Struthio camelus: one gene and its partners. The protein of the gene in region 2 interacts with the protein of the main gene of each other region in a biochemical or structural test. Links are inferred from orthologs where the notes say so. Each region holds a gene or a part of one and is shown on either strand. Other genes may lie near its edges.

What was found.
Region 1: the proteins of FGF9 (region 2) and FGFR1 interact in a biophysical measurement, tested with the Homo sapiens proteins (2 studies listed by BioGRID and IntAct, with this or other methods). The link is inferred for Struthio camelus from reciprocal best matches to the Homo sapiens genes FGF9 and FGFR1.
Region 3: the proteins of FGF9 (region 2) and FGFR3 form a complex in vitro, tested with the Homo sapiens proteins (3 studies listed by BioGRID and IntAct, with this or other methods). The link is inferred for Struthio camelus from reciprocal best matches to the Homo sapiens genes FGF9 and FGFR3.

Annotation. Positions count from the first base shown.
Region 1 is NC_090968.1:7,229,276-7,239,601, reverse strand, and holds the start of FGFR1 (fibroblast growth factor receptor 1), read left to right. Parts: upstream 1-5,312; 5' UTR 5,313-5,327; coding exon 5,328-5,389; intron 5,390-10,326. UniProt on the Homo sapiens protein: Tyrosine-protein kinase that acts as a cell-surface receptor for fibroblast growth factors and plays an essential role in the regulation of embryonic development, cell proliferation, differentiation and migration.
Region 2 is NC_090942.1:203,234,748-203,245,653, forward strand, and holds the start of FGF9 (fibroblast growth factor 9), read right to left. Parts: upstream 4,237-10,906; 5' UTR 3,222-4,236; coding exon 2,945-3,221; intron 1-2,944.
Region 3 is NC_090945.1:78,284,285-78,294,650, forward strand, and holds the start of FGFR3 (fibroblast growth factor receptor 3), read right to left. Parts: upstream 4,737-10,366; 5' UTR 4,639-4,736; intron 4,499-4,638; 5' UTR 4,451-4,498; coding exon 4,270-4,450; intron 1,415-4,269; exon of another isoform or gene 1,252-1,414; intron 1-1,251.

The DNA of each region.
Region 1 (10,326 bases), on a different chromosome or scaffold from region 2:
TCCGGCAGAAGCGCGGCGTCGGGGAACGCTGCAGCCCTGCACCCGGGGCTGCCCGGCGCCTCCCGAGCTCCCGCACGTCCCTCTCCCGAGGCCAGGCGGTAACTGCCGCTCTGGCTGCAAACGCTGCCGTGCAGCTGCCTGCAGATCATAAAATACCATGTGATGTCTTCACGAGTGCTGGGCGATCGCGGGGCAGCCGACCTCGCCGCCCTGGCTGGCGGGGCTGGACTCGAGGCACACCTCGGGAGCTCTTATCAGCCGTGCTGGAAGGCGAGATACCACGCTAACGTCAAGGGAAGTGCAACAGAAAGCCGATCTTGGGCCCTTCGGAGGCGAGGCAGGATGTCGGTGCAGCCAGCGCCTCCCTGCCAAGACTTCTGCTCAGCCGGCTCGGCGCCTTCGCGCAGGAGCGGCAGGAGGACGGTGGCTTGCCTGCGGGCACCGGAGGTGGCAGGGAAAGCTCTGGGGGGACAAGGTGCTGAGGCTCTTCCTGCTGGCCGGCAGGACCCTGGGACAGCCCGCCCGGGCGAGCCAGGCAGAGCTGCTGGCGCAAGGAAGGGAGCGAGCCTGGCCTTGGACACCAGGTGCCTACATGGTCACCTGTGACAAGTCAGCTTGAGAGCTTAAAAGTCAGCTGAGGCTTTAAAAAAATGGAGAAGACAACAGCCATTGAATAAAAGAGGTTAAGAGTGGGAGAGGGAGCAAGAGCCTGGCTTTGCATGCCAGCACCCCTCTGCAAACCAGCCAGGCTGGTCCCCATGGATTGTCTCAGCAGCGTCTCATTCCCCATTTCAGCCCAGGTCTCCTCCAGCCACCACTCAGAAAGACACCAGAGCCTGCAGTGTCCGTGGTCCCAACAGCACTGCCGGGGACCAAACCAAGGTTTTCCAGCAAAGACTCATCTGATCAGGCCCCCCCGGCTGGACGGGGTGCACCCTGGCCACATAGGTCCTGGCTTTGGTTTGAAAGGCTCTGAGAAAGCCATGGAGAACCAGGGAATGCCTGCAGGAGAGCATCCTTCACCTCCCTCCTCTCTGCACTGGCGTCTCTGTTTGGCGTCCATGGAGGCGCTCGCTCGTTCAGGACGGGTCCTGCTCAGTCTCCTGAACGCTTCGTCTGCAGGCAAACCCTGCTGCGACCGCAGGTGCCCTGAGCACCCCTGGCCCTGGCGCTGCTCCTCTCCCCTGCAAGTGAAATGGTGCTCTGCTTGTTTGATTTCCCTTCATCACCATCAGAAAAGCAGCCAAGTAGCAGCCGATGGGGGACATTATGGTGCTTTTGAGATGCAACCAAGGAAGGAAAAAGCAGGTTTGGGTTGATGCTAATAGCAGAGAAAACCTCAGAGCAAGGAGAGTGCTTGGGAGCCACCGGGCTGTATTGCAAGCCCAAGGACCGGAGCCGGTGCTCTGCCCATGACAGGGCTTTGTGCTCTGCCCATGCCAGGGCTTTGCTCCAGGACAGCAGCACAGCTGGGCTGGGCTCCCGGGCAGGCCTGGTGGGCCCCATCCCGCCGTGGGGCAGAAAGGGGCCACATGCGGCCAAGGGCTGCGGGTGTGTGATCCAGCCTGGCTCGGCAGTGCCCGAAGTCCAGCTGAGCACAGGCAGCACCTCTAGCTACAGCCAGAGCCGCTAATAACACTTTATGGAGTTGGAGCAGAGAGGCGAGAGAGGGGGCTTCCTGTAAAAGGCTCTACTTAGCTTCTAAATCATGCCCGGGAGCTAACATTTTGCTGATTTTCACATGTCCCATTTCCCTGGGAAAGTTGGAGTTTTGCAAGCTGCCGGGCGAGCTCTCCGCAGTGTCCCTGCTGGCCTCTGGCAGGGTGGCACGGGGCTGGCCAGGCAGCCACGGGTGCTGAGAGGGGCTGGACTTCTCTCTGAGACGCTTCACACAAGCCCTGCCTGAGAACAGACTCCTCTCGGCATGGAGAACGGCTGCTGTGAGCTCCTCCAGCCTTGGGACAGCGGGGTGAAGTCACCACTAGTGACTCAGATGTTCTAGCACATGGGAAGTGATTTGCCAAGGTCAGACAACGCACCTGGACGCCTCTGCAGAACATCAGCAACGTCCTGAAAAGCCTGGCCAGGAGGCGGAGGGGGAAGCAGAGAAGAGACGAGTCGTGTCTTAGAGATGGGGAAAGAGGGCTGCACGGGAACTGGCCTGTCCGTCCGAGCCACGCCGCAGCCGGCAGAGGCTCCGATCAGGAGTCCTGAGGCTGGTGTCCTGCCCGAGCCGCGCTCCCTCCTGCAGCGCCCCGTTACCCGCGTGCGCAGCCACGCTCAGCGCACGTGCGCCCGGTAACGCGCTGCGGACGCGGCGCTCGCACGCACGGAGCCGATGCGCGTGCACCCTGCACGCCCCGCAGAGAGCAGGGCCACGCGCACGTGTGCCCCGGCTGCCTCCCACGTGCCCTGCCGCGTGCGCTGCCTTTCGCTTGTGGGGTGGCGCAGGCTCGAGCCCGCGAGCCAGCCGGCCGCCTGCGAGCAGCCAGCGCTGCACTCTGATGTGCCCCGGCCTTTGCAGGGCCAGCCCGAGCTGACAAAGTCTTTGTCAGCCAGATCTTTCAGGGAAAGCTCTTTGTTCTTCAGCGTTTGCTCCTGGCCTCCCCCTCCACAAAGCTCAACTAGATGCATCTGCTTTTGTTTTCTAAATGCAGAATTAGGGGCTGAAAAGAGCCCCTTTGTAGTGGGGAGGAGGGGAGAGCTGCAGATCTTTGACTGGGCAAGTTGAGGTCAGGGGGGAACGGCTCCTTTGTGCTGCCGGCTGGGCTCGCGCTGCTACCCTGCCCCTTCCTAGACCCGGGCCCTCATGCAAAAGTTTTGGAGACTTGGAGAAACTGCTGTGCAAGCAGTATTGGCAACATCCCACCACCAGTGCCGCTGCCGCTGCCCGGGCGGTCGGCTGCCGCCGTGGCTGGGCTGCTCGGCGATGCACATGGAGCAGGCCACCGCGAGCGAGACAGCCAGGTGCCGGGGACGGGCCGCTCGGAGCAAGGCCGGGGCGAGCAGGCTGCGGGACCAGCACCCTTGCCAGCCGCCAGCAACCCCTCCGGCTTCCTCGTCCTGGCCCCGGACAGATCTCGTCCGTGTGAGCGCACTGTCCCGGCCCCGAGGCCAACGGGATCGTTAGACCAGCACAAAGCTCTGCACGAGCGCTTGGCGCTTGGATGTCCGCGTCAGAGCCAGCCCGCGAGCACATCCGGGCTGCGCGCGGGCTCAGCCGAGCTTGGGCCGGGGCTCGGCCTGCGCGCGGTGAGCTGTTCAGCTGTCAGCGTAGCGCAGATGTGCTTTCAGTTTATCTTGGTCCTGTTCTTGATTAAGTGTAGTTGCAGTGAAACAAGCCCGGCTCCATGTGAAAATCGCATCTGCGTCGCCTCGAAAGCGTGTCACCGACGCGCAGGTGTGTGCGGGAGAGCGTGGCCCTGGGGACCGGGGCGGGCTGGATGCCCACGGAGCCGGCCCCGGGGAGCGCTCCTCTCCCCGGCCATCCTGGGGGTCTGTATGCCACCAGATGGTGACAGCTCGCGGTCACTCCTGCTCCGGAGCCCCAGTGCTGAGGCCGGGGGGCAGCGAACCCTTGAGCCTCCCAGGAGCAGGGGATTCTTGTCCTCATTTTCCGCCATCTCCGAGCACCGTAAAGGCCCACAAAGTTCAGTCTTCCGCCCCCGCGATGCAGCCAGGCAGAAAGCCATCCCCAAGGAGAGCAGCAGCAGAGGTGCGAGCCCTTCCCCTTTCCTCACAAGGACATGTTATGGCTGCAAATCCATCAGCTCCATTTCAGGGCCGACGTTATTAAGCCTGGGACAAAAGCTTAGCAGGAGGCATGGCTGCCCTGGGGGGGGGCAGGAGCCGCCCGGAGCTCTCTCAGGTCCCCGTGCAGCAAACCTGGCCCCAGCCTCGGTCCCTATAGCTAAGCATGAAGCAGGTTGGTTCCTGGCTGTCCGGGGGATGAAGAGAGCAGGGCTGGGGCTGGGGGGGGTCTCACTCCTCGGGGCAGGTGGTCCCTCCTGCAGAACGGAGCTGAGCCTGCTTCACCCGCCTGGAAATAGGAAGGTGCTCCAGCTCGCCGGGCTGGCCCTCTCCAGACAATGAGATCTGCTTCCTCCGTGCTTCCGCCTGCCCTCCTTGCCAGGTAGCCGCACCGTTCTTCGATCACCTCCTGGGAAGAGCTCGCCTGTCCGGCGAAAGAGAAAAAGCAGAGAGAGAGGAACATGCTGCCAGCCAGCACACCTACCGCCCCGCGGGCTGCAGCGAGAGGGAACCCACGCACGCAGAGACGCCCAGGCTGCCCCGCAGGCAGGCGCCCGGGGAGCCCGCCTGGGGCAAGCTGCGCATCACGGGGGCACTGGGGAACAGCTCTTCTTGCCCCATGCCACCGGCTCTCTTAGACACTCTTCCCATGCTCAACATGCCGGGGCAAGAGCATCCCGGTAGGCATGTTACCTTCCCCTCCCTCTCCCCTGTCCACACATCTGTCATCCCAGAAAAAAAATATTCAGTAGGTCTTGGCACAGCCATCTGAGCAGTTGCCTGAACCAGCAAGAGGCTGCTCCTGAAGACAGATGCCCAGCATTTGGTTCAAATATAGCTATGGTGATTGACAGGGCTAATTCAGTCTGTCCTCTTCCCTGTTATAACTTAATCACTTACACATTGCCTCACGCAGGTCTTTCACTACCAGCCAGGAGACGTCTTCATCCTGACCTACCCTGACTTTGAATGTGAGTCGGGTTTGCTCCTCTATCTGTGCTTCCTGCACGGAGGCCAAACCTTGTCACAGTCCGCATTACCCTGCGCGAGCCTGGCTTTGGGGGAGCTCGCCCGACCCGCAGAGATTGGGCCTGGGCCTGGGCCTGGGGAGGGTACAGCAGCTACAGCATATGGGAGAAAGGCTGGAGGCCTGACCAGCCGACACATGTATTGCCTGAGCACGCAGGGATCTTTCGGGGTGCTTTCCAAGTCTTCGTGCTCCGGACCTCAGTGGAGAGCTGCCCAGCTGGGCACAGCAGGGGAGGGGCAGGCTTTCCAGCAGCAGGAGTTCCTGGACGGCTCCCAGGAATGATTTGAGTCTGGCAACCCTTTGGAAAACTGCTGGCAGAAAGTGGGTGCCCCAGGCCTGGCTTCGCAGAAGGGCCAGGCTGGGGGCTCTGGGCTCCCCAGCGCGCTGCCGCCCCTGCGTGCCAGCGCGCCGCTGTCTCGGCGCCTGGTCGGCGGAGGCCCTGCCAGGAGGCCGGCGCCGCGGGACGAGGGCTCTGCCCCTGCTCCCGGCTCTGCCTCCCCCGGACGGCGGGGCTCCCGGCTCGCCGCTCTCCCGGCGCGCAGCAGCCATGAGCGAGAGAGGGGCCGAGCGCAGAAGGAAGCATCCCGCTGCGGAAGGGCCGAGCACCTCGTATGCGCAACCTGGACGGTTTTGGGGGGGGGGGGGGAACAGCCTTCGCAACCCAGCGGCGGCCCCGAGGCCCCGGGCAGGGGCCCGGCGGGGGGCGGCCGCCGGGCGGGCCGGAGCGCAGCCCGGGGGCGTCGAGGGGAGGCGGGGAGCGAGGGGGTCGGCGGCGACTACAAGCCCCAGCAGGCCGCTGAGGAGGAGGAGGAGGAGGAGGAGGAGGGCTGGGGAGGACGGCGGAGGGGAGCGCGGAGGAGGAGCCGGGGAGGAGGCGGCGGGGCGGTGCGGGAGCGGCTCAGTCCGGCGGCGGCGGGGACGCGGCGGCAGCGGCAGCGGCAGCGGCGCCCGTCGGGTCGGGTCGGGGCGGCGGCGGCGGGAGCGCCTGGGGCCGGCGCCGCCATGGGGCGGCCGCAGTGAGCGCGGCGCCGGCGGGGCTGCGCCCTCGCCCCGGCCGGGCACCCGCCATTGTTCGGTAGCGGCGGGCAGCGCGCCGCCGCCGCCCCGCGGGGCTCCGGTGAGTACCGCCGCCTGCGCCGCCCTCCCGCCGCTCGACGGCGGCCCCGGCTCGCGGGCATCGGGGCTTCGCGGGCACCGGGGGGGCTCCGGTTCGCGGGCATCGGGGCTCCTCAGGCACCGGAGGGCTCCGATTTCCAGGCATCGGGGCTCCTCGGGCGCCGGGGGGGTCCGATTTCCAGGCATCGGGGCTCCTCGGGCGCCGGGGGGGCTCCGGTTCGCGGGCATCGGGGCTCCTCAGGCACCGGAGGGCTCCGATTTCCAGGCATCGGGGCTCCTCGGGCACCGGGGGGGTCCGATTTCCAGGCATCGGGGCTCCTCGGGCACCGGGGGGGTCCGATTTCCAGGCATCGGGGCTTCGGAGGCACCGGGGAGCTCCGGTTCGCGGGCATCGGGGCTCCGCAGCGCACCGGAGGGCTCCGATTTCCAGGCATCGGGGCTCCTCGGGCACCGGGGGGGCTCCGATTTCCAGGCATCGGGGCTCCTCGGGCACCGGGGGGGCTCCGATTTCCAGGCATCGGGGCTCCTCGGGCACCGGGGGGGCTCCGATTTCCAGGCATCGGGGCTCCTCGGGCACCGGGGGAGCTCCGATTTCCAGGCATCGGGGCTCCTCGGGCACCGGAGGGCTCCGATTTCCAGGCATCGGGGCTTCGCAGGCACCGGGGGGAGCTCCGGTTCGCGGGCATCGGGGCTCCGCAGCGCAGCGGAGGGCTCCGATTTCCAGGCATCGGGGCTTCGCAGGCACCGGCGGCTCCGGTCCGTCGGGCTCCGCGGCCGGCGCTCCGCGCAGCGCGGCGGGGCGGCACGTTGGAAACGCGCCGGCCCGGGGCCCGTCGGGGGCCGCGGCCCGGGAGCCCCCCGCGGCGCCGGCGCTCCGGCAGCGCGGCCGGGCCCGAGGCCACCGCCCGGCGCGGGGCTGGCGCGGACCTGGCTCTGCCGTTCGGTGGCTTGTTTGCAAAGTTGCTGCCTAGCCGTTGTGTGCGAAGAGAAGTTCGCAAACGGGAGCCTCAAGGCTCCCAGAAGAAGATGAGTAAGGAGCCGGCACTTGCTGGGTTTTGTTTTGTTTAAGCCTCCTGATGTTGGGGCATTCCGGTGGTAACTGGGGATTGAGATGCTGGAAACAACATATCCTTAAATTGTATATTTCCTTTGTGTTTGTGAGGTGCCCATGGGGAGATGAGGAGATTCTGAGATTGTCTTTTATCAAAACTCTTTGCCAGGATCTCTGAGAGTCGTCCTTGTTCATACATGGCGAACGCTCAGAGAGTACAGCGTGCTGGCTGATGGCGTGTGCGATATTTGTCTTATCTGCTGGGATGATGTGCGTAACTAGCCGGGACTGTATTGGGTTTCAGATGGCATTTTTGGTTGTGGTATTTGTAATTTTTGCTGTTTTACCGAGTTGAGTGCAAGATCCAATCAGAGGCAGCTTGACTTATGTAACTAGCCGGCCCAGCTGAAAACACGAGTTGCGTATCCATTTGTAATGCGTTCAGGTTACACAGAGAAGTACTGGAGTCGTGGTGCGCTTCTCCTTCTCTGCCTAGATTGTTGAATAACTACCCAGCGTCTGAAGCGCTACGGCTGACTGGTACACAGTTCCTTCCGGTGAATGTTTAAACACCGAAGTGTGGTTCACCGAACTGCTTGTGTTAATAAAGCACAGAGGCTTAGAAGCTGTTCTTCTGCCCAGGTCCCGAAGCGAGTGAAATTGGAATTTGCTTTCAGACTTGAGCAGGCGGAGGCAGCGGTGCTGTGCCTGGGACTCGCTCGGCGGTGAGGGGCCGCGCGCGAGCGCTTGTGCAGAGGAGGCGGGGAGCCGTGGGGGCGCGGGCAGCGGCAATGCAGCGACCCCGCCGAGCCCTGCCGATGCTGCGGGGCCGGGAGCACGGACCCTGCATACCTCTCTGGCTAGCAGCCATTTTCCCCACACATGAGCACTTCCTTAATCTCTGCGGTGGCTGGCATGCACTATTGCCTTTTCCTTGTGTTGTTCAGGGAGGATTAAAATAAATCAGGATGGTCCCTGCCCTGACGGGGTGAAGGCAGGAGCAGTGCTCTTCCCTGCGTTGCAAAAGCAGCCTGCACGCGCATGGGTCGGTACCGGGCTTTGCTGGGTGCAAAGCGCCTGCCATGGGGAGCGCTGGCTGCTCCAGCCGTGCTGGGAAGGAGCCCAAGTTGCTTTCAGGTGCAAACTGGAGCTCCTTATTTATTTATGTGCCTAAAAATGTGAACTGCACTAGGAGCTGTTTTGGCTCCAGCCTCAGCAGGTTTTACCCTGATGCTCTGGCTCTGCAAGCCCTGGCTGCTAGAAGGGGCCGCTCGATGGAGAGTGAATTGCGATGCTCATCCAGCCCTGGCAATCCCACTTTCTCCTCAGCTTCCCAGGCCTTGCAGACCTTCTGCTTCTGGGGATGAAGGCAAATGCAAACAATAGGGGAAACATTTGCTGGAGAAATGTGCATCTCTCCTCTCCCAGCAGCTTTCCTTGGAGGATCTGAACGTAGCAAACCCCCATCCAGCTCCCTCTGCAGATGGTTAACTGGCCTTTGCCTCTTCCAGAGGATGGCAGACTGTGGCTGCATCCCACTGCCCCTGTCTGGGACATCCCGCACTGGTCACCAGCCGGGGCACTCAGCGTTCAGTAGCCCAGCTGAGGCTTTTGGGTACTAAGAGATGTTCTGCAGATCTGAAAATCAAGTCCTTGGAGAGGGATCCCTGGATTTGAGGTTGCTTCTGAACCTACCTTCCTGCCCCGTCTGCCAGACTCCCTGGTCACTCTGCAGGGTGCACACAGATAGCGTGCAGGGACCTCTCTCCAGGGATATTTCTGGTAGCTGTAAGGCCTTGCAACAGGCTCTAACTCATACGGCATGAAAGGGTTAACACTGTATGTATGCGGCACAGTTGGATGTTTATTTTTCCAAGCATGTGTCTGCTTTAAGCATTATAATTTTTCCCTATAGTTACATTTGCAGTTGTATTTGCTTTTTATTTCGGCAAATACTTGGTTCCTGACCTGAGCCATAGGCTGGGGCAGGGAGGTGTGGGCAAGGGGAAGGCTGTTCTCCCTCGTCCTGCCCAAGACTTTTGTCTTTGGCGTGCCCTTCTTTTGCAAGGGCACTTGGAGGGCTGCTTGCGTTGAGCCTCTGAGAAAAATTCAGCGTCTCTTCATGTACGTTTTGAAGCTGGAGCGCGTGTATGCCTGGCAGGTGCAAGGTCTTGGGGAGCAGCTCTGCTCTGAGCCTGACGTGGTGCCGTGGTCCCTGCTCCTCGTTTGCTCAGGCCGGTCCCAACCTCCAGCAACGCGGGCTCCTGAAACCTTGCTGACCTGGGAGCCGAGTTGAAACTTCTCTCTGTTGAATCTGGATTGCCCTGTTGGTTTTTATCGGCAGCTGGTTGGTGGCCCCGAGGCTCCCTGACGATCGGGCTGCCTCCGCGTACGCCCTGACGTGGGGACTGCTTGCGCAGACCGGTCCTGCTCGGCCGTGAGACGAAGCCTAAGAGGGCAGCAGGGCAGCGGGTAGCGCCGGCTGCTCCTGGGAGACCGACACTGGGGGCTCTCCTGCAGGACGTGGGACACAGCACCCGTCCGGGACCACGGGGACCCGTCCTGAACCATGCTCAGCTCCCGGGCGTCCCGGCCGAGCAGCCCTGGTCCGGCACTGGCGTCTGCGTTTGGCCCCTTTGGTGCATTCGCGGAGCATGAGCCAGGCGGCTGCAGGGGCTTCCCCGCTACACTCAGCCCGGAGGCATGGGCCTCCTCCCAGGAGCGGAGGAGCCCTTCCAGCGCCGCCTCCGCGGACAGCTCAGCCCTCATAACTCACAGGCACGGGACAGAGCGGAGATAAGAGTCCAGCCTCCGCGTCCTCGCCGGGGCCGGACTGAGAGGCTGCTCTGGGGGCGGCGAGGGAGAGAGGTTGCGAGAGGTGCGCTTGTCGTGGATGCACAGGCGTGCAAGGGCAGTCTGATAGCATCTTCGCTGGTGTGCGAGCGTGCAGCGAGCGTGTGCACCTGTGTACGGGAGGACGCGTGCAGGTGGGAGAGGGCGTATGGATGCGCACATGGGTGTTCCTGTCCGTGTTCCTGAATAGCTCCGTGGGTGTAATTGGGCCACTTGTAATTGCAGTCTCAGCAGACAGGTCTCTAAGGGGCAGTTAGCCGTCGTTCCTCCCTTAGCGCTTCCATTTTTAGTTGCTTAAATCCACCCCTGAGCAGTAAATTGCAGTGTGCCCGTGCCACGCGGGAGCGGGGAAGGTGCGTCCGAGGCCCGTGCCCCGGACAGGGCTGCAGACCCACCCTGCCGGAGCTGCGCTCCTTCAGAGCAAACGATTTCCTGCCCGCGTTCATAGAAAAGCTGTATAAACAGGGGGCAGGGTGGTGTCTTTGTTTGCACAGGTAGGAGCACGCTGCCCCCATCCTCCCCACGC
Region 2 (10,906 bases):
TCTTTTCCTGCATGCTCCTATTTTTTTAATGCTGTGCATGCAGTACTTGTGCTGACGCACAGAGGCACGCCTCTCCGCTGTTACAGAGTTCCTGAATTTACAATGACTCCACTGTCTAGCAAATGCCCTAGACTAAAGGAGACTGCATCAAAAAAAAAAAATCTTTTGTCACCTAGGAGAGATAAGGCTTTGATCACATAAGATCGCATTACAGGGGGGACCTAAGTCTGCTCTCCCGAGGAGCTTTTATTCCAGAGATGGACATCTTACTGCAGGCATTGCGAAATGCCCGGGCTTCCAGAACCGGGCGAGTATAGACACACAATATGGCTCGGTTTATTGTATGCAATAGGCACACATCCAACATAGCATCACAAAAGAATTACTCTTATCTGATGTCTCTCCAGAGGTGTGTGTGCGTGTGGGGGGGGGGGGGGGGAAGGGGAGATTCCCACGGGGCAGAGCCATGAGAAGAGTTTACGCGCAGCCCCCGGGGTTCTCTTTGTCCTCCTTATTCCTGCAGGAAAAACTTCCTTCTTACTCGTGTATCCACACACACATACACAGGTTTCCCCCACACGCTCAGAGGCGAGCAAGTTAGCTCTCTCTCCCCACAGCCAGCTCCCGAGAGCTGCCTGCACACCTTCCCAGGGTAAGCAGAAGACTTTACCATCACCAAAACCCAAACAGCATCTGCCATTCGGCCACCTGCCGATAAACACAAGAGCACTGTCACGGCACCGGCACAGAAGTACTCAGATCCCCCCTCTCTAAGCCAGGAACCGCAAAGCATCCCGTCGCATCGCCTTGCCCAGCCTGCACGGCCGCGCGGGGGGCATCACCGGAGCACTACATGGGAGAAGAGTTAGTGCAACGGTGCTTTCTGGGGGGAAGAGGGCGACCGAACCGAGAGAAAAAAAAAAAAAAAGAAAAGAAAAGAAAAGAAAACCATCTATTTAAAGCCAAGGCGCTCCAAGGGCGAGAATAGCTGCCCCTCGGAATTGTTAGCTTCCTACAACTGCGGCTGGAAAGCCATTTTTAAAAATAGACGCCTCGAATAATGTGGTCACGGCGGCGTTGGACAGGGAGCAGCTGGCGGCCCTCCTCCCGGGGGCGGCGGGGCCGCGGGGTGCCGGGCCCGGAGCCCCGGCTGCCGGGCGCGGGCGGTGCGCGCAGCGGCGCGGCCGCGCTACACCTGCTGCCGCCGCCCCGCGCCGCGGCCCCGGCACAGCGCTTCGCCACGCGCGTCCCCCGGGCGCGCACCCGCGGCCACCTCGCCCTCCGCCTGCTGCCGTCAAGGCGTGTGTGTGCGCGCGGGTGCGCACCCGCAGGGAGAAGGGGAGAACCGGCGCGCGCGTATATTTGAGCAGCTATTCCTAGCGTCTCCGTGTGTCCAGCAAAAAACGCCTAGGTGCAAAATCCCGGCGCTGCCCTCGCTGTGGCACTGCCCTGCGCTCCCGCAAGCCCCTTTGGGCACTTTGCTCCCCCTTGGCTCGTGCTCGGGAGCGCGGCCGTTGCGCGCCCAGCCCAAGGCAAGGACGGCGGGCGGGCGGCCGGGCAGCGCGGCCGTGCGGGAAACCGCGCCGAAGTGCCAGGGAGAAGGGGCCGAGGGGGTGACAAACCTGCGACCGTGCGAGTTTGAACCCCCTCTCCCTCCCCTTGCCCCCGACGCCCCTTCCCCTCTGCGCCCTTTGGAGACCATCTCCTACAACACCGGTATTATCTAAACAGCAATAAAATACAGTTTAGATATGGTTCAACATCTGGCATTAGAACATGAAGCACAAAAAAGAAAAAAAAAACACCACAGGACTTTGTTTTTACGACCGAATTTAAGTGCTGTCAGGTTGGCTCACTCACAAGTTAACTCCTTGCAACAGCTGAGAGCGTGGCTAGCTAACCTGGCGTATTTTCCTCACCCCTCCTTAAAAAACAAAGAATCCGACCATCCAGGCCGCCTGAGCCACTTTCGTGTATTCAGTCTGCCGGGCCTTTAACAACCTCCCTGGCAGCAAAGAAGCTCCAGGCCCGCTTGACTTGTGTGCGTGCGCGGCTGTGCACGCACCGCCTCCGAAAAGTGCGTGAAGCCGTCAGCCCTCCAGCCTGCAGCCCTCAGTGCTGAGTCACAAACAGCGTCCTCTGCAAATGAAATCCACGGAATGCTCTTTAAAAATTAGCTCCCAGCTTTACACACCGCACAGCTCCGGAAAGCCACATTTTCCCTCGCCCGCCTCTCGGCGGGTTGCGAGCGCAGCCCCAGCCCGGGGCCGGCTACCTGCGCGCCGCAGCCTGCTGCCTCCGCAAAGCGGCCGGCGCTGCTCTCGCTGCCGGGCTGCGGCTCCCGCTTCGCGCCGGCAGCCGAGCCTCCGAGGCGGCCCCGGCAGGGAGCGGCAGCCGCTGCCGCCGAATCCCTCGCTGAGAATCAGAACACGTTCAATTGGCAAGCCAGGCAGTTACTAGGGCAGGTAATGGGGAGAGAAAACGAAAGAAAAGCCTGCGTTAATTTGCGTACAGGACGACAGCCACTCCCTTCAGGAAACTCAGTGAATTTTAAATTGTAGTGGTTAATGATTAAAAACCCTTTAAACCCCGTGAAATCAAATCATTCAGTAGAAACGTCCGGAGCAAAAATTCCACCACCACCACCACCACCACCACCGCCGCCGCCACCTCCCCATACGTATCTACACTTAAGCAGAACTTGGGGCTACGTAAATATCGCCACCAAAACCACCGTGACTTTGGTGCGGGCTCCTGCTTCGCTGCGGCTGTGCCACTTGTGAATATCTGCAATTCCGGACACATTCATTTTTTCCCTTCGCTGATCAGACATCACCACAAAACCCCCTCCCCGCCCGCTTCGCACCCCCCCAGCTCCCCCCGCCCGCACTTCTACCACATTATTTCATCACATGACCACTGAAGGGTTAATGATAATACCTACCAAATCTGCTGTGGTCTTGCCTGGTTCCCTGGATAGTACCATTGGGGAAGATTTCTAAATGAAATCCAGTCCTGCAGTATAGCTGCCTCCGCCTGAGGATCCCCTTTAAATGGTCCAAGTCCGTGACTGCAGGCCCCCTGGGTAGCCCACCTGCCTCAGACTGACCCAGGTGGTCACTTAACAAAACCGGACTATCCACCGGCAAAACGGGCACATTCCCAAAGGGTACTGCATCCTGCACACCGAAATAGTTCCCAACTTCACCTAAGGGAGCCATCAGAAGATTCTGCTTTTAGAGAATAAGAATAAACAATAATGATGGTGCCAAACCCAGGAGATATAAGATTAGGTATATTCCACTCCTCTCCCCTCCCTATCGCAGTTACAGAGAAAATGTTCTTTCTTCAATCCATTAAATGCATAAATAAAAGTAATATTCTGTTTTGACTGGTACAGGTTCAAGGTCAAACCAGTTAGTCTAAGAAACCACCACTTTATACTCACACACTGACATATTTATAAACATATAGATGTGTATATCTATATATATGCATATATCCCCAGCTCTTAGCAAGCAATAAGGTCTTCAGCCCATCCAACTGTAATAAAGAAAAAAATCCGTAGTTTCTCCATTTGGTTTAAGATAAGAATGACCATAGCAACTTAAATACCTAGGCGTTATAGGGATTTTTTTTAAGATGCACAGGCTACGTCAGGATTTATGGATTCTGACTCCAGAAAGGCATGCGCTGTTTTTACTCTATAACAGACTGCATACATCAGCATGAATCCCGCAAAGGGGGGAGGGGGGAATCTCACGTTGTTGGCTGAGATAAATCCAAAAAGAAAAAAGAAAAAGGAGAAAAAAAAAACTTTTGACGTCCAAATCTATTATCCAGAACGCTCAGGAGGCTCAGCAGATGTCCATGGGTTTAGGATTATTGACGATCCACAAGCAAAGCAGAAACGTACAAGTGCTTGTGTCTTTCTTGGCTGCCTTGAAACAGGTGTTGCTTCTGCAGGGCTCCCTGTGAAATGTTGTACTCCAGCACTGAGCTGCAGCTCTTGACTGTGGATCTCCATCCAGCACGCAGAGTGGCGCAGGAAGAGGCATTGGGCTGGGTTTAAGGTAGTCCTGATTGCTGCTGGAAGGCTCCTCCGAGGTCCTAGCGCGCAGCCCTACCTGCTGCAATACAGCCGCGGCTCCAGCGCTAGGCACTGCTCGCAGCCGCTCTCCCGCTGCTCTGCGGCACGGCCGCGCGCCCGGGCAAATCAGTAAAGAAACGGGCGAAACTTTCGCGGGTGAGAGGAGCGCGGGCGAAATGCAGCCGGTCACCCCGCTGCGGGAGGCAGGGCGCTGCGGGAGATGCCCGCAGTGCCCGCCGCCCGTGACATTGGCCGGGACGGCGGCGCGGAGCGGCGCGGAGCCGAGCGCACCGCGAGCCCGCCCCGGGCCCTGCCCGCCCGCCGGGGGCTGCGAGGTCGGCGGCGACCCCGGAGCCCGGCGCGGTGGTGCCCTGGCTGTGGGCAGCGGCGGCCGCCTGCCTGCCGGGCCGAGCCGCCCTTCAGGTAACCGGGCTGCCGCTGCCCCGCAGCGGGTTTTAAACTGAAGCTCGGGGTCCCCGGGGAAGGGGTGGGAGGGCGGCGCGGGGGGGGGGGCTGCCGGCGCGGCTGGCCACGCCGCAGTGCTCGTCCTTCCCACCCCGCGGGGACTCGCCGCCCCCCTCGGGAGCGCGGAGCGCTCGCGGCTCCGCTGCTGCTGCGCGGCTGCCGGGGGCCGGGCCGGGCCGTGCGCCGGCTGGGGGCCGGGGGGGCCGGGGGGGCCGGGGGGGCCGGGGCCGCCCCGCTGCGCCGCCGGGGCGCTCGCTTCAGGGACCGGACCGCTTCTCCCTGGGCCGGGACCCGGCGCAAGTTGTTGAGAGGCCGGCGCAGGGCAGGCAGAGGCGGCTAGGAGGTGGCAACCCGGGGGCGGGGGGGCACTGTGGCAGGAGATCGACCCCAAGCCGTTGCTGGAAAAGTCTTCTCCTCCCGAAAAAGAAGTTATTTCAAACGGCCGGGAGAGAGCTGGTGAAGGCGGGGGGGGGGCGGGAGGATATATGTTTCTTCTTATGATGCCGATGATGGATGTTATTGTTGTTTCGCCGCACTCCAATACAGCTGCATTAATTAGCAAAGGGACAGAAGGGTCTCCTGATTTTCCAGGATTGCTGGAGCAGAGCTCAAGGACTGGGCACAATACGGAGGCTTACACTGAAGGAGAGGATGACTCCGGCAGCCCTGTGGAATTAAATGCGAAACCTGAAGGCAGGACTGTGGAGGGGGAAGAAAGGGAGAAAAGGAGAGGAAACATAATATCATGGGAGCCGGGGGGAGAGATTGCATGGTGTGAATGATGATGCACCTCTCCAAGAGGGCAGGGCCCCGGAAGGTCACTGGTGGAGGCTGGAAACAGAGCTCAGGGAAAGGAGAATTTTGCAAGGGGGTTAATTAAAAATAATAGACTTTCTGCATGTCTTACTGCTCGATGGGCATGCAGAAGAGGGAGCGGCTCTCCTCACCTTCCCCACCCCAAAAACCAGCAGCCCAGCTCTGGCTGGCACAACCCACCCTTTGTGCCTCTTCCCGCTTGCTGCTGGGACTCCACGCTCGAGAGGAAGCAAGACTTCCCGCTCCCATGGCTAACAGGGGGGACTGCAGCACGGAAAGGCTGTGTCCCGCATCCACAAGGATGTTAAGGAAACTGTCAGGGCATACTCCATGCCAGTGGTGCATGAACCCATCCTACAGCTCCAGCCGTCTCCCTTTATGTGACTCCACTGGTCATTACTAGCGTCCGCAGGATGGGGTTCAGGAGCTGCAGAGCAGGGTCCCATTGTTCTAGTTCTGCTCAAACCCACAGAAAGAAACAGTTGCTGCCCATCAGTCCATGCATTTTGATGTGCAAGAGCAGACCAATCCCCCTCCCCCTCCTCAAAACGCAGGAAAATCAGCGCTAGCAAGGACTGCTCCAGCGCTCTCCGGGAATGTTCCACAGCATTACCATATATATCAGGTTTAAGGACACTGCTCACACACACAACGGTTATATCAGTGTGAACAACTGCAGAATGACTTGGGAAAAACTGCAGAACTCCCCATGTCAAAAATCATTATTCTTTATCAACTTGATCACGGCAGTACCCAGAGGCCCCATTCAGGGATCACAGTCCCATTGTGTTGGATACTGCAGACACATGTAATAAGAGCGATGGTCTATGCCCAAAGAGCTTATGATCTTAACCCATGATGAAAGACAACAGGTGTATACTACAGACACATGGGGGAAGGATAAGGGAAAAGCAGTGCTGAGAATAAAAAGCAACAGGCCTAGCCAATGACAAGTGTTTTGTGTCAGAAGGAAGTTTTAAGGAGATTTGAAGGAGAACAATAAAGGAGCTTTATGGCTATTAATGGGAAGGGTTTTTTCTATGCATAATGGGTGACTTGGAAGAGAACATAAAATTGCTTGTTAAGAAATAGGACTGCTGAGAAATTAAGGCTCACGCCACTGGCAAAGCACAAGGATTAGGACTGGAAGTCCTGATATTTGTGTGCTACTCAGTCTAGAAATAATGGGAAAGAGGCTTCCAGTCCTTTAAAGTTTACATTTCTAGTCCCAGTGAAGAGTAAGAGACAGGATTTTAATTTTTTGTCTAGTCCAGGCTTCAGTATTTTCTACCTTGTACTTCAGACCAGCACTACTTATGCGAAATATCTGAAGGTAAAGGAGGAACTATTTGTATAATTTTTTAAAGGAATTTAAATGAAAGCCCACATATTATTGGCTATAGGAAGTTTGGTGTTATAAAAGTGTTATCTAAGCTGAGGCTTTGATGTCTGAATTACTCATAAGTATCAAAGCCACACATGAATTATGCAGGGCATCCCCAAAATTATACCCATCTGTGAGTAGGTGGTGTTCTAACCCTGCTTCACATAAAATCTGTGTGTGATGTGTAAAGTCAAACTTACCCCGTGCAGAAGTTTGGCTTTACCAATATCTCAGGCTATATTAAAAGCCTACACTTTTATCCCCAAGACACTGAGGCAGAAACACCTCTACCCCTAAACTCTCCTCAACTAGAGATTCACACCCACTTCCCTTATACCCTCCTGGAATTAAAGACTGTATCTGCCACAGTGAGTCATCAAGAGCTTACTCATCAGCTTTATGCAGGATTTTAACTCCTGCTAGCAGAGCTGGTCAGAAGAATCTTGCATTTCTTAAGTAGTTCCTGGCACATATTCTTCTGGCATGTACTACACTAATGTGACACCTCTGGCAAGTTTTAGGTATCGTGATTTTTTTTTTTTTTTAACTGCTTAACCTGTACTCTACCCACCAGTTCAATTTTACAACAACTTTTCACATACCAAATTTTGAGCAGCGATTTAAAAAAATCACCCTGCCACAAGAAATGTGTTTTTTCTTCCCCCTAGACGGCATAATTTCGTCAAAAGTACAGAATTCTACTCTGGACTTACAATATATCTCTCTACAACATATTTTTCCTAACATTGCAGATGGAGAATTGAAGAAGATTCATGTCATTAACAAGAGAGGATCTACAACCTGTCATTGACAAACATGGCATTTGCCAACTTCACTAAAAATGTGTTGAGTCAGCAAATTTTCAAAAGCTGCTTTTTATAAATAGAACATAATATAGAAAGCAATGTCATTTTCAGATTTCTTTGCAGATAGGAATTTTCAGGGTATTTGAAGCATAATACAAACCTGAATATTATAGAGTATAATTAATCTCGCCTCACTGCATGCTGCTGCAGTCTAGACAAGTAAACTACTTGTTCTTTAATGCAGAGAAATAGGTGCAATTTTAGGGAGCGAATCATCTGACCTATTCTAGGCATCTACTTTAGGATGACATGACTCATGCTCTAGAGATGCTCATTTCTTCCCCCTGTGTATGAAGAGAGCCTATATTAGATATAGACTTCTACATAACACAGGTCCAGATATGATTGGATGAATCCCACTTGCTATGCTATACATGTGATTCAGCATTTCCCCAGAATGGACGGTGAGCGCATTAAACTATTAATATAACTGCACAAATTAATCCTCCAAAGAAAAGTCATGTCATCTCAGCAATGAAAAGTTACTGAAACTCATGATTATGAAACATTAGATTACATGGAAACAAATAACACGCTTGTAAAATGGCTTGATTAAACTACTAGCCATGTGATTCAAGTTGATTGGATTAACATAAGAAAGGCCTACAGATTTAAGAAAAATGGATCTAGAGGAATAACATTTGCCTTTTCATTTCAGAAACTGTAGGAAAAAAGTTTAAAAGTATTTATGACGTAAAAGATTGCCTGCAAGGATCCCAGAAGACAGTATATTTAATATGACCTACAACCTCCTGCCTAACTTTTCAGACAGGAGGATTGTAAAACATAAGGCAGTTTACATGCAATTTTTCAGGGAAACATAGCACCAGTGTTACCATGTGCTATACAGCTGCAGCAGTGTATCTGACATGGATTTCTTATGACATGATGATATTTTGCCACTTATAGGAATCAGTGAAGCTACATAAACTAGCCATAGCAGAATATGATCTTTGTGACTGTCCTTGGGAGTTCAGGGAGTCCAAGGAGTATCAGGCTATATGCTTAAAATATCTTAATTTAAGTACAAAAGTAATAATGCCATTATAAGTCAGATAAAATGCATTGATAGAGACGTTGATATAGTTTTTTGGCATGCGTGTATCTGCTGGTGATGCTTGAAGCTAGATAAGGTCTACCTGCTGCTAAGATCTGCTGCTTTTGTACTGAATTAGTTGTCCCTTTCACAAGATCGTCCTGCTCAAGAGTGAAAGTGCCATTAACTGGAAAAAGAAAAGGGGAGGAAGTCAAAGCTGCTGTGTATGCAGAAGACTGCACAGGTCTATCCACGGTAAGCAGTTTTTGTGACACTGTTCACAAGATTACTCAGTCTGAGAACCGCTCTGCTGCTACCGCCCCAGCCTTTGCCTTTCGTGCGTTTCCTGCCCAAGAGCGTGCTGTTTCTATTCAAACAGATTTCTGCTTTCTTCACACTCACGCATTTTTGCTGCCCCTTTGTGACTGCAAGCTCAGAAGAGTTTGTCAGTAGGCTGCGCTCAAACTAGCCTCTAGGATATCCTTGAAGTTCTTTCTTAGCCAGCTACACTTCCTCTTCAGATAGTTCACTATCTGAAAGATGTGATGGCACTCACATACCAACCAAGGCACATATCCAGACCATCAGCTGGACCCTACATATCAGTGCTAGATTAGACATGCAGTCAGCAACCTGCCTTGATTACCCTGTCATCACCTGCCTTGGGGCAAAGACGGAAAGTGCCTCTCCTAGAGCTTCTGCAATTCTCCATAAGCTGGACACATGTCCCCGCTTATGACTTGGTCAGCATGCTGGCAGGCACAGTAGCCTGGTACTCCTCTATCCTGATGCGTCCAGGTCCACTTTCTGGAATGGCCAAAGGCCTCTCTAGCTTTCTGAAGGCAAGTGATTGCATCTCCACCAGTGGTAACATGACCACACATAAGATTTCCAAAATAAGTGAACTGAAGCGCAACCAGTACTTTGTTCCACCACAGGATGTTGAAATGGTGGCCTACATGAGATTCAAAGCCGATTCACGCAGGAGTTCAGTCTATCCAGATGCAAAAGCAATAAGCAAGTCTACAGTGAGCTGAAGCATCTGCTTCGAGCGGCCACCAGCACACAGCTGCCAGCACGCAAGGTCCCTGCTAGCCCGCTGGCAGCCAAGGCTGAGCTAACCTCCTGCGGGTCAAAGGCTTGTCCCAGGGCCCACGTGAAGGTCACAGGCCAGCTCTCTCTCACCCTCCTCCAGAAGACGTCTCCACGAACCCAGACACCTCCCTGTTGACAGCGTGCGGCAGGGCAGAGGCCAGGTTCTGCCACGCTGTCCCCAAGGAGGCTCTCGGAGGGGCCATAAGGCTGTAACCCCACTCTGCCCTCCCAGCCCTGTGCCTCCCCTGGGCTGAGGGCGCAGCTGGGGAAGGAGGGAAGGAGACACCCGTGGCCTGGCAGGGGCAGGCCGCCCCACCGCGCTTGTGTGGGACTCTCTTGCCCTCTAGTGGGCAAAGCCAGCGGGGCGGCCCCGCCGTGCCCCCTGCGGCCTGCCCTCCTCCTCCTCATCATCCTCCTTCTCCTCCTCCTCCTTCTCCTCCTCCTCCCTCTCCTCCTCCTCCCCTGCCCCGGTGTGCCAGCAGCCCGTGCATGGTGGCTGGCTCCCCCGTGAGGCACCAGAGTCTGGGGGCCTGCCAAGATCCCCATGGACAGCCCCGGCTCCTGAAGCAGGGGACACCCCTCAGCATCGCCTCAGCAGTGGCCGGGGTCAGGGGGATGGGAGAAGGAGAGCTGGGCACTAACCCCCAAGAGGGACACCCTGGTCCAGGGCTGGCAACATGGTTGTGTGCTGCTGCTGGTGACCTTGGTGGGGAACACGCTGACGAGCGCCTGTCCAAGCTGTCACCTCTGCTCTCCCCAGCCAACAGTGGAGAGAGGGACCAAGTGCCACAGGCCCTGAAGAGCAGCGCTAAGAGCAGACAAGCGAATCCATGATGGGGCAGCCAGAGGTGGGACCTGGGCAGTGGCAGCACTATTGGTTTTTGATGGATGGGATGCCCCAACGGGTGGTACTCTTGTGGCTGCTGAGCACATCCACACTGCTGGGACCGGACTGGGCCACAGAATGGAGAAGGTGGCTGTGGAGATGCAGAGCCAAGGGAAGGGCAGCACTGGGGGCATGGCCCTGTGGCCCACCTAAGGCTGAGCGGGGCCGCAGGTGTGGCTGGAAAAGGGAATACAGCTGGGCTTTTGTAGGACTTTTGGGAGTACCCTATGAAGACCATTTTTTTAACGTTGCCTAGCCTTTGTTAACT
Region 3 (10,366 bases), on a different chromosome or scaffold from region 2:
CAGAAACTGGGGTGAATTTCCATATCTTTTTAGGGTCTCTAACTGAAACAGCAGACGGATGCGGTAAATTTTCTGGAAGGACAGCTTTAAAACATACAGTCTGATATCAAAGTTCACTTTTACTGACCATACATAAAGAGAAAAGACTTTGCTTCCCAGTGCTACAGAAAGGAAAAAAGCCCTCAGTTCGCTTCAGAAAAGGCTTCAGCCCTGCCCAGGCAGCAGGACGGAAATGGTCCCGATTCAGGGATGCCGCAGTCGAGACTTCTTTAGCGTTCATCTAACTGCAAAAACCACGTTCAGGAAGGCTCCTGAACAGGTACGCTTCCCCAAAGAACGGTGAAGGTGTGCTAGAGGGAGCTACAAAACTTAACGCGCTGGTCAGAGTGGCTTAATTTAATTGCGTTGTTCAATTAATTAGCAGATCAACTCTTCACTACGCAATTTTAAGATTTACTTTAATGAAATTCCCCACTCAATGGTTGTTAATAAAGTCTTAATTAAAAGAACTCCCCCCCGAGATTTAATTGGAGTGACCCTTGTCAGTACATGTAAAAGGTGGTGATGTTACACATCTAGCATCAAATATATTAATGAACTGGTCTCCGCACTGAAACAGATTTTCCAGGCCACTATTTGCTAGCTGAAGAATAGACTAAAAACCAAAAAGCCACATTTCATCATCCCCTACTCATGCCCTCTAATTTTATTGCTCTGTAAAATATGCTAGTCTCAACATTAAAGACTTAATTAACTTCTTGAAATCTGCTACCGTTAAGACAATAAATGAAACAACTTTCTTCAGCAAAACTATCTCACTCATAGCCGCCCACAGAATCTAAAGGATTTCAGGTCTGAGATATAAAGTAGAAAGCAACAATACTTTATAAGGGACTCTTTTTTAAAGGGCTTTGAAATGCTTTCCTTACGAGAACGTATAAACCCAGAACCCTACTCCAGGAATGGTCAGCGCCACGCAGCACTCACTCAAATACAACTCTAATTTCAGGGTGAACTTTGGAATGTTTAGATACACAAAGTAAAACGACCCGGCCCATAATACCCTACATCCTACCCAATATCCTCGTCAGAAGCTGAAAAGGCTAAAAAAAACCAACCAAACAAACCAAAGTTGCTATAAGCTGCATAAAGAAAAACTTTTCAATCGGCACATCACCGCTGTTTCCAAGCAGAAAAGTCACAAGAATGTCTGGCCCAATATTTAAATTAAGTTAAAACGTGAAATGGTACCTTTTCTATTTCTTTGGCTTGCTTGCTGGGACCAGTATGGTAACTCTGGGTGACAACTCGACTACAGTACTACGCAAGTAAACCTCAGTTACTGCTCTTGACACGCTCGGATAGCTCCTCCCTTGCCGCACAAACTTTCTCAAACATTAACAGCTTTCTACGCAACTCTGTCAATGCATATACACAGCTTTAGCAGCTAACTAGTGTAGTAAAAATCCTAAGACGTCCAAAAATTCACTTTTCCCATGTGTCACGTATGCACACGCACAAACCAGATACGGAAGACAGCCTGTTATCAGAAGTCTTTAGAAGAGAAATGCTGCTGTTTCTGTTGGTCTGCTCTCTAAGAAAACAGCCAGCATTACTTGACATTCACAAATCGTACCAAGTAATATCTTTATCTGAATACTAATGCAAATTGGAAGGGCTTTTTTATATTGATGTCTATTCTGTGGCTGCTGAATAGAGTGACCGCATGCTCAAGGCTGCAAAGGAGTTCACTGACCTCCCTAATCATCTCTGTCATAGCCGCTGAATGACATACACATTCAATCCTGCCTTGCCTCTCTACTTTCATTCATAAAAAAAAAGAAAAAAATGACATTGTTCTTCCTGCAGCAGCCCCGAGAAAGGGAGAGAAGAGAAACTCAGCCCAGATGAGGCCCCTGGTGTTTTTAGTTTAGCTTCTATTCAGCAACAGCCCCGCCATCTGCCTCCTTCCTGCCAACAGCCGAACACCTCCCTGCGGAGATGTTAAAACCTGCACCCCCTCCACCTCCACTAATAGCTAGTATTCATATTAGCAAACATACACATACCTCGAGAATGCCTCCCTTCAATGTGTGTTTTATGTAGCTGAGTATAGGCACAAAGCAGTAGCTGTTACAGCCTTCACAGCCCCGTGTGGAGAATTAGATCACTAGGGAAAAATCCTTCCAAGCCCCTTTATGGAAAATAAGGCCTTACACTGTAAATGCAAAACCTAGTGAACAACAACCCTCAGTAATGAGCCAATACCCCATGGCCCATTTGACTAGGAGAAAGAATTTGCTTTTTACCATTCAATTCAAAGCTTGAAAAGTAAAATGTGTTTTTACTTGGCTCTGAAGGTTTATATTCTTTACAGTTGCTTTTGCAGGTCCTTTTCTCTCCCAGATAAGAGCGCCCTACGCGCTGGCAACAGGTCCTCTGCCCTTGCCTAACGAGTCAATTAGATATCACGACAAGCAGCCCGGGTATCGCTAGCGATATTTCACGCTTCCCTCGTGCACGTGGCCAGTCAAAAAGTAGCCTGGCGTTACAAAGCTCGGTCCCGTCTCCGGAGCACGCTGCCTGCCCGCCCCGCGCGCGCCACCCCCTCCTCTCCCGTCACATCTCCCTGCACGACTCGTACTGCCGGAGAAACGCTCGGAAACGCTGCTCCGCGTCCGTGCCCACGGGAGCCCTCCGCGGAGGGCCTAATCCTGCTCCCCGGGAAGCGCGGGAGAGTTTTGACAGCAGCAACAACAGCAGGACCACAACTGTGCCATTACTCGGAAAAGCCGGGGGGACGAAACCAGAACCTGCCCGCGCAGGATTTCCACCAGAGCGCCTGGCAATCCTGGAGCATCGCTCAGTTCAAAGACATCACCGTAGGGACATTTTCTTCAGCTGCCTCCCTTCCACCAACACGCCGGACGACTATAAGGGCACGTCACTTGCTAAATTTCAAACACCACCCTAAGATCTTAACGTGCAAATGTGGGTGTCTTAAAGAACAGAAAGGTTTTTACTGTTTTTCTGCCCACGATCTCAGTCCCCGGCTGTGAGCTCAGCCTGCCTGAGTGTAAATCCAGAGGACCCCCGAGGAAGTCACTGAGGTTGCTCCACACTTTCCTTGGGGCTCCCCAAAGAATTTTGCTCTAAGTGACAGCGCAAATACATATTTCAGGCTAACACGGGGAAAAGTTCTGACCTTAATTTTGGTCGATTCCTAATACCGTTACTAGCACAGACTGCTCTTGCTTCCTCCTAAACACCAATCTCATCTGCTCTGACAAAGCAGCTGAGATGTTGCCCCATAAATCAATTCTTTTGGCTGTGAAAAATGAGCCAAACGAGTTACACTAAGAATCTGGTGTTTTATTAGTACTTTCTTGAAAACAAAACCAACCCCCTGTGTGATTTATAGCTTTAACCAAAAGGGGTATGAAAGTAATGCCCCCCCCCAGCCTCCACGAAGCCCATTTATTCCCCTGTCACTTTTTTGGCAAACATGCTTCAAACCCTTTCGTGAACAATGGAAACTTTCTGTTGGGTACACGCAATCTTAAAGACAGGGGACTAGGAGGGGGCTACCTTCCATTAAAGAGCTTTGAAAAATAAACAGGGACTCAGGTAGCAGCTGAGGCGTATCAGAGAGACACGACATTTCAAACACGCTGTACCGTTTTTAAACAGCTTTTGCCCAACGCGTTAACTTTTTTTTTTTTTTCACTTGCGACTGCAACGCTTTCCACTCGAGGGGAGATATTTACTGCATTCCCGCAGATGTTTTCCCCTCCTCAGCACAATCCCAACTCTTAAGCCGTGCGCCGGCGCCAGCGGAGCGGTGGCACCTCCCGTCCCGCTCCTACAACGCGGGCACAGATGCCTCCCCCTGCTCTCCGACGTGCGCGCACGGAGGGCTCTCTGCTTTTCCCCGCTCAGCTGCGAGCGCGGCTACGGCCAAACCCCGGATCGGCACCGCGGCGGCAGTTACTGAGAGAAGGAACTTCGAAGGCAGGGAAAGTTGTCTGAAAAGCGATTTTTCCTTCCCGGGCGTCCTGCTGGCTTGGGCAAGCCGAAAGTGCCGCTGGCGGAGGAGCAGGCAGCGCCGGCCAGCACTTTCCCAAAGCCGGCAAGCGCAGCGCGCTGCCGCCTTTCTAACTCGCCCTCCGGGGCCCCCGAGCTCGCCGCGCCGCGGCCCGTTCCCACGCTCGCCTCCCGCCCGGCGCGCCGCACCGCGCCGCGCCGCGTCCCCCCGCCGGGCAGCCTCACCTGCGGGCTGCCCGCCGCTCCTCTCCTCCGCGGGGGAGCCGGGCCGCCGGGCCGCCGGGAGCCCGCCGGCCGCCGCCGCCAAGCACAGGCACCACAGGGAGCCCCACGCCGCCAGCATGCCTCCGGCGCGGCACCGCGGGCGCGGGGGAGCCGCCGCACCGCCGCCGCCCGGCTCAGACATCCTCCGGCCGCATGCTGCCGCCGCTCAGCGCTCCGCTCCGCCGCCGCGCTGCCGAGAGAAGGAGAGAGCCGCTCAGCACCCCCCCGCGTACCGAAACAGGGAAAAAGGGCGGGGGGAGGGGGGAAAGCGAGGAGAAAAAAAATAAAGGGGGGACGCGCGCACATAAGCGGCGCCGGCGAGCCGCTTACCTGCGCAAGCCCCGCGGCTCGCCGCGCACCGCTCATGGAGGGAGCGCGCCCGAGCAGCCGCCACCGCCGCCGCCCGCCCGCCGCCGCGGCGCTTCTGCGTCTGGTTGGCGGGCGCGGGCGCGGAGCGGGGCGGCCGCGCTGTCCCCGCCCGCCGGGGCCGAGCCGCGGGCGGCCCCGCCCCGCTCCGCGCCGCCGCCGCCGCCGCCGCCGCCGCCGCCGCCGCCGCCGCCGCCGCCGCCGCCGCCGCCGCCGCCGCCGCGGGGGGCCGCGCCCCGCTGCGCGCCCCGCGGGCGGGGGAGGAGGGATGCGGTCGGCGCGGTGCGAGCGCCGCGCACCTCCGGCCCGACTGCAATCGCACGGAGAAGAAGGGGGTTCGCCTCGCTCCGGGAAAGACGGGGTCGGCGGGGTTAAAGTCGGTCCGAAGTCCGGCAGTGCTAAGTACGAACCCTAAGACTGCGGCCGCGCAAAGTGGCCCCATGCCCTGCCATAGTGTGCCATGAAACGCGCACAGACTTCGTTTTTCTTTTTTTTCCTTTTTCTTTTTTCCCTGGCCTTACAACAGCAAGGGCGAGTTTTCTGAAAAGAGGCAGAATTGGCTTAAGCCGACTCCGTTGGGTCGTGGGCAGTCTAGGCAGGACGTGGCATGGCAGAAGCCGCCTGCGAGCGGTGCCTGCACTCAGCCTAACGGCTCGCATGCTGAAAGCGCCATGCGCCCGCTCCCCTGGCAGGTTTGCTGTGCTACGGCGGGGACTCCTTTGCCCTGGCCCGCCGAACACCCAGCGCCGGTGTCGTATCCCTGCTTGGATTCTGCGCGTTCACTGCTGCTAGCTGGATCAGCTACTTTTAATAAAATCTGATTAAATGTCACTTGTTACGATTTTGGGTAACGCAGTCGTCTCAGTCACCCCCAGACGTGGCTGACTCGCCGAAGTGACACGCAACATTTATCATTGAGAAGCGATCTGAGCTGCTTCATACAGAGGTCACAGCTCTGCTTTAATCCTCTTGACGCAGCAATTCATTCACTGAAATCTGAGAGGTGCAACTATTATCAGAGCTGAAAGCGCTCTGCGCAGGGTCCCCCAAAACCCCAACTTGCTAACAGCTAGGGTGAGATGGTTCAGGAACGAGAAACGTGTAAAAAGCTCAGGCGGCCTTGAGGTTTGCTCTCTGCAAGCCAAATCCCAGCTGCTGGGGCAGGTTTCGCTTTCGGCGGCGCGGCAGAAGGCGGGAATTGCTGGCGACCTCCGTGGCGGGGCTCTGCGTCGGTGCTGTTGTCGCTGAGCTCGGCGTCCGTCTTGACACCTTTATCAGGCGCGGAGAGTCTGACATCTCAATACTACGGCATTGTGTGGGGAAGCATTGAACCGGGGCTGCAGCGAGGAAATCCTGCATGTCAGCAGAGACTCTCGCAAGTGTCACAGGCAGTTTAAACGAAAACAATGGAGGGAAAAGCAGGCATATAAATAAAACGCGGTTATTTCGCCTGGGAAGTGTGTCAAACTGAAAGATGTTTTCTCTCACAACTGCTGTGTTAGAGGTGCCAGAAAATTGGTGAAAACAACAACAACAACAACAACAACAACAGCGTAATTATAGTGAGAAGAAAGTAGCGTTGCATGTGGAGTTGTTGCCGTTATTATTTTGATGATGACTTTTTGGAAAGGTAGGGCCAAATTCTGATCTCATGTAAAGACAGCAGGGTAAGAGCAGCACAGCATTTAATTGGTGAATCCTCACCGTCTTTCCTGTGATTATCTCCGTTTTTCACAAGAGCAGCAAAGGAAAGTCAGGAGCTTTCCTCAATCCGCAGCTGAAGCAAGAAAGTAAGTGAAAATGCGGAGTCAGGTGAAGCCAAACGTGTCTGTGTCCCTCTCGGGCCAGGGCGACAGGATAGAAACGTCCCATCCAAAGCAAGCGAGTTTTAAAGCTGCTACCAGAGGCTGCTGAGAGACTTAAAGGTCTGTGTCTCAAATCAGGTAAACCTAGCCCTTTAATGGTTTCAAACTGGTTTTCTTTTGGAGAGAAACTGAAAGCTTACAACATTTGGAAGCCCTTTGCGACAGGAAATCAAAGAGGTATTGAGATAGCCCTGTGTAAAGGACTTCAAGGTTGGCAGTTTTCCCTAGGGTGGGATATTTTTAGGTTTCCCGTTTATTAACCTCTGGTGCAGCCCATTCACATGAGGCTGTGGAGCACCGACCCGATTAAGCGCAGATTTTTAGATGCTAGTTCATCACTGCGGTGGCCACTGTAACAGAGCCGGAGATGCAGTACTGTGCAGTGAAAACTGTGTTTCTGGACTATGTCTCAGCCACATTCTTACTATAAAAAACTCAATGTATGTAGACTAGTAAACCCTGCTCAACCCAATAGCATTTATTTTAGGACTACTATGCTGTAAGATGCATCCTAGCCGCAGAGTATTCCTTTCACCTCGACCTAAGAGCGCGTCCCCCTTACGCCGATCTACACGCACCACCCCAGTGTTTGTTCTCCTCTTACCCTTTATAAACTTGCCCTTCCCAGGGCTTTGTATTTGTTTAGCCCCTTAATATCCAGAGCTGTCCGTGATGAAAATCAACCCGCTTTCGGCAGCTCTGGGACAGCGAGCGGCTGCCCCTTTTTTCCGAGGCAGGGGCTGAAATACGATGTGGTGGCAGCGCTCTCAGTGTCAAAGCTGGTCGCTGCTACGTTCCCGGCCCTGGTCCTGGCCGAGGTGCTTGGCCACCCGGAGCGGCTGCGCCCCCACACCCTGCTCCTGCTCCTGTTGCCCCTTTCCCGTAAGCCATGGCTCTCCCTGCTTCCCTGCTCCCACCGACAGGTAATTCAGCTCAGGGACCAAGGCAGGTGGCCCTGGACCAACGCCCCTTTCCTTCTCCTTCCCTTCCCTTCCCTTTCTCCACGGCTCGCTCTCTGCCTTCCTGCCAGGCCTCTCCACCAAAGCTTGATGCCCTTCAGGCTTCAGGCAGGAAAGCTAGAAACGGCATTTTTAGTGGTGGGCCAGCACATTAGAACTATTCTATGCAGAAATATATTTAAGCATAAATCTGGCCACTGAAAAGAATGAGGCAAAATAATGTCTTTGCTCTTTTTTTTTTTTAAATTGATTAAACCATTAGTTCCTGCCTACCTGCATAGCTGAGTTGTTGTATTTAACCAAGCAGAGAGCAGAGCATGGTGGCTGCTGTGAACTGACACATCGTGGGCCTCCATACAGATCTTTAAAATGATGCTGGGGGCTGGTACACCATCCCACCACGCCATACATCCCCATCAATGGGTCCTCGTACAACTTGCTTCCTTAGCGGGCAGAAAACAACTCCTGAAGCTATCCTGAGATGGAACAGGGCAGTGAAGCAAGTGAAACTTCAGTGCAAGTTTGAATATGCTGAACAAGATGCAGTAGAATTACATGGACACGTGGTCACACGAGTCTCTGAATCATATCAGGTTAGGTACACAGAATAAATATCACCAAATATTTCTTATCAGGACTGAGACGCGTGAGCCAGATTGAGCACCACAGCTCCCCAGGGCTTTACCAGCCTGTTCCTCGTTAGAAGCACATATGAGACTGGGCTGAAATATTACTTCAGAGTTTGTCCATTTGCATGCGTCCAGCCCTTGGAATCAAAGGGTTAAATAGCAGGAGTGGAGGTGGACACGGGAGTAAATTTTCCAGAGATCATGTCACTATCTATTTATATCAATAAGGCACATTGGAATGGCTAAACCAGTTTTTATTAACTAGCCAGTCCAAAGGGCTGCGATTCCAAGCAGGTTTATTGAATTTCAAGCTGATAGTCATTGTTGCTAAGATTAAGGACCCAAATGATTGTCAGGGTAAACACTGTGAAAGGTTAAGCCACCATGTGAAGGCTTTCTCTGTGCTTGCAAATGAGAAGCATATCACTTTGAAAGGTGGTTACAGCACAACTTCATCCTGTAGAGTTTACTTCCCCACAGAGCAGCATGGAAGTGAGAAAGAGAAGGCTCTGTTAAGGGAGAAGTAATTTGATTTGAAGAGGAACGAGAAAGAACAAGTGAGCTGGAGAGAGACGCACAAAGTCTCTTCGGCAAGAGCTGCATATGGGGAGGTTCTGGCAGAGGTGAAATAATTTGGCAGCCTGGAGAGAAAACTAGACGGTTTGCGGAAGTAGATAGAAAAAAACTGGAGAGAGCCTGTGGAGGGTGTGAGAAGCAAAGATTTAAAATCAGATCTTGAAATAATCTTGATTCAGTACAGCCACCGTGCGTGCAGCATGGGACACCGGCTGGCTCTGCGCCCTCCTGCGAGCACGTCTCGGAGATGCAGTTCACCTGTCCTGCAGATCTGGTTATCCTAGTCCTCCGAGTAAACCAAGACAAGCATCTGGAGCCTGCAGAGAAGAAGACAGAGATATTACTTCTGCCTGCCCGGTGCATTCAAACAGTCACTATATATGACATTTCAGATAAACTTTGGCTGGAGCACTTCATTTGCAGGCATAGCAAGACCTCTAACTTTGGGGGCATTTGAAATGAAGCCACACGCTGCTTAGTCACCCACCGGTCTGCGAAGACTGATGCCGGTGAGAATAAACCAGACGCTGCCAAGGCAGTTTTCTGGGAGACCCACAGTCATGTTTAAGTAACTGTCCTGAAGCTAGGATTTACTCCAGGAACACACCCATGTACCATGAGAACTGGGATCTTATCACATCTGTGTGGCATGGTCCCAGAGGCAAGCTCCAGCCCATGGGCCTCACTAATGACTGCTGTTGGCCCCAGCAGCGGCATGCGCGGGATGAAATCCTCTCTGGTCTCTAGCCATTTCGAGAACCGCGCTTCATGCTGTCCAGTGTGGCTCGTGACTCCCAGCCCAGCCATAGGGCCTGGCTTTCGCATCCGTATCCCTCTCTCCAGGGGCGTTTCGGGGGATCTGCCCCACTCTGCAGTACCGGAAAGGAATGTGTCGTGAGCAGCAGAAGATCTGTCAAAATAAAGAGCCATCAACTAAAATAAATGTGAGTTAAAGATAATTCAGCTGAGGTCTTCTATCTGTTGAGGACTGCAGAATTTTAGTCAATATTAAGACATTATTACTACAGTTTTCAGTCAAGCTCTTTCTCAGTGGCACGCTTGTCTTACTTTAGGGGAAGGCTTGAATACAGGGACAAATCAGTCATTCTTAACGCTGCTTTACTACTGACTGTGTGCTCCCACAAGGCAGTGCTGACACAGTCCCGCGTCTGACTGCAGCCCTGCCACATCTAGAGGCTGATTTGTATGTCTATCTCCTTGCAATTCCTGTGGTAGTTTTATTTTTCCAAAAAGCACAGTACAAGCTCTGCTCCACTACAGAGATAGGGTGGGTGGATCAGACGCATATTGGTGCATTAAATATACAGGATGTGTTACAGAATTGAGTGACTCTATAGCTTTTTCTGGCCTTTGAAATAAAAAGTAGTACGCATGCACATTCCAAATCCTATGTTCATGTCCAGCAGCTTTGCAGTGGAAAAGCAATTGAGGGTCTCAGAATACTTTATAAACAGAGATAACTCTTCTAGCTGGTCTCTGAGACAGTTAAGGGTTATTATCCCCCTGTTACACATGGTCACTCCAAAGCCCAGGAAGGTGAACTGACTTACCACATGCCAGCTCACAGTCTGCAGCTTTGATTGTGGGACCAAATCCAGCACTGTCATAATAAAGTGATAACTACCTCGGGGATCTTGTGCTT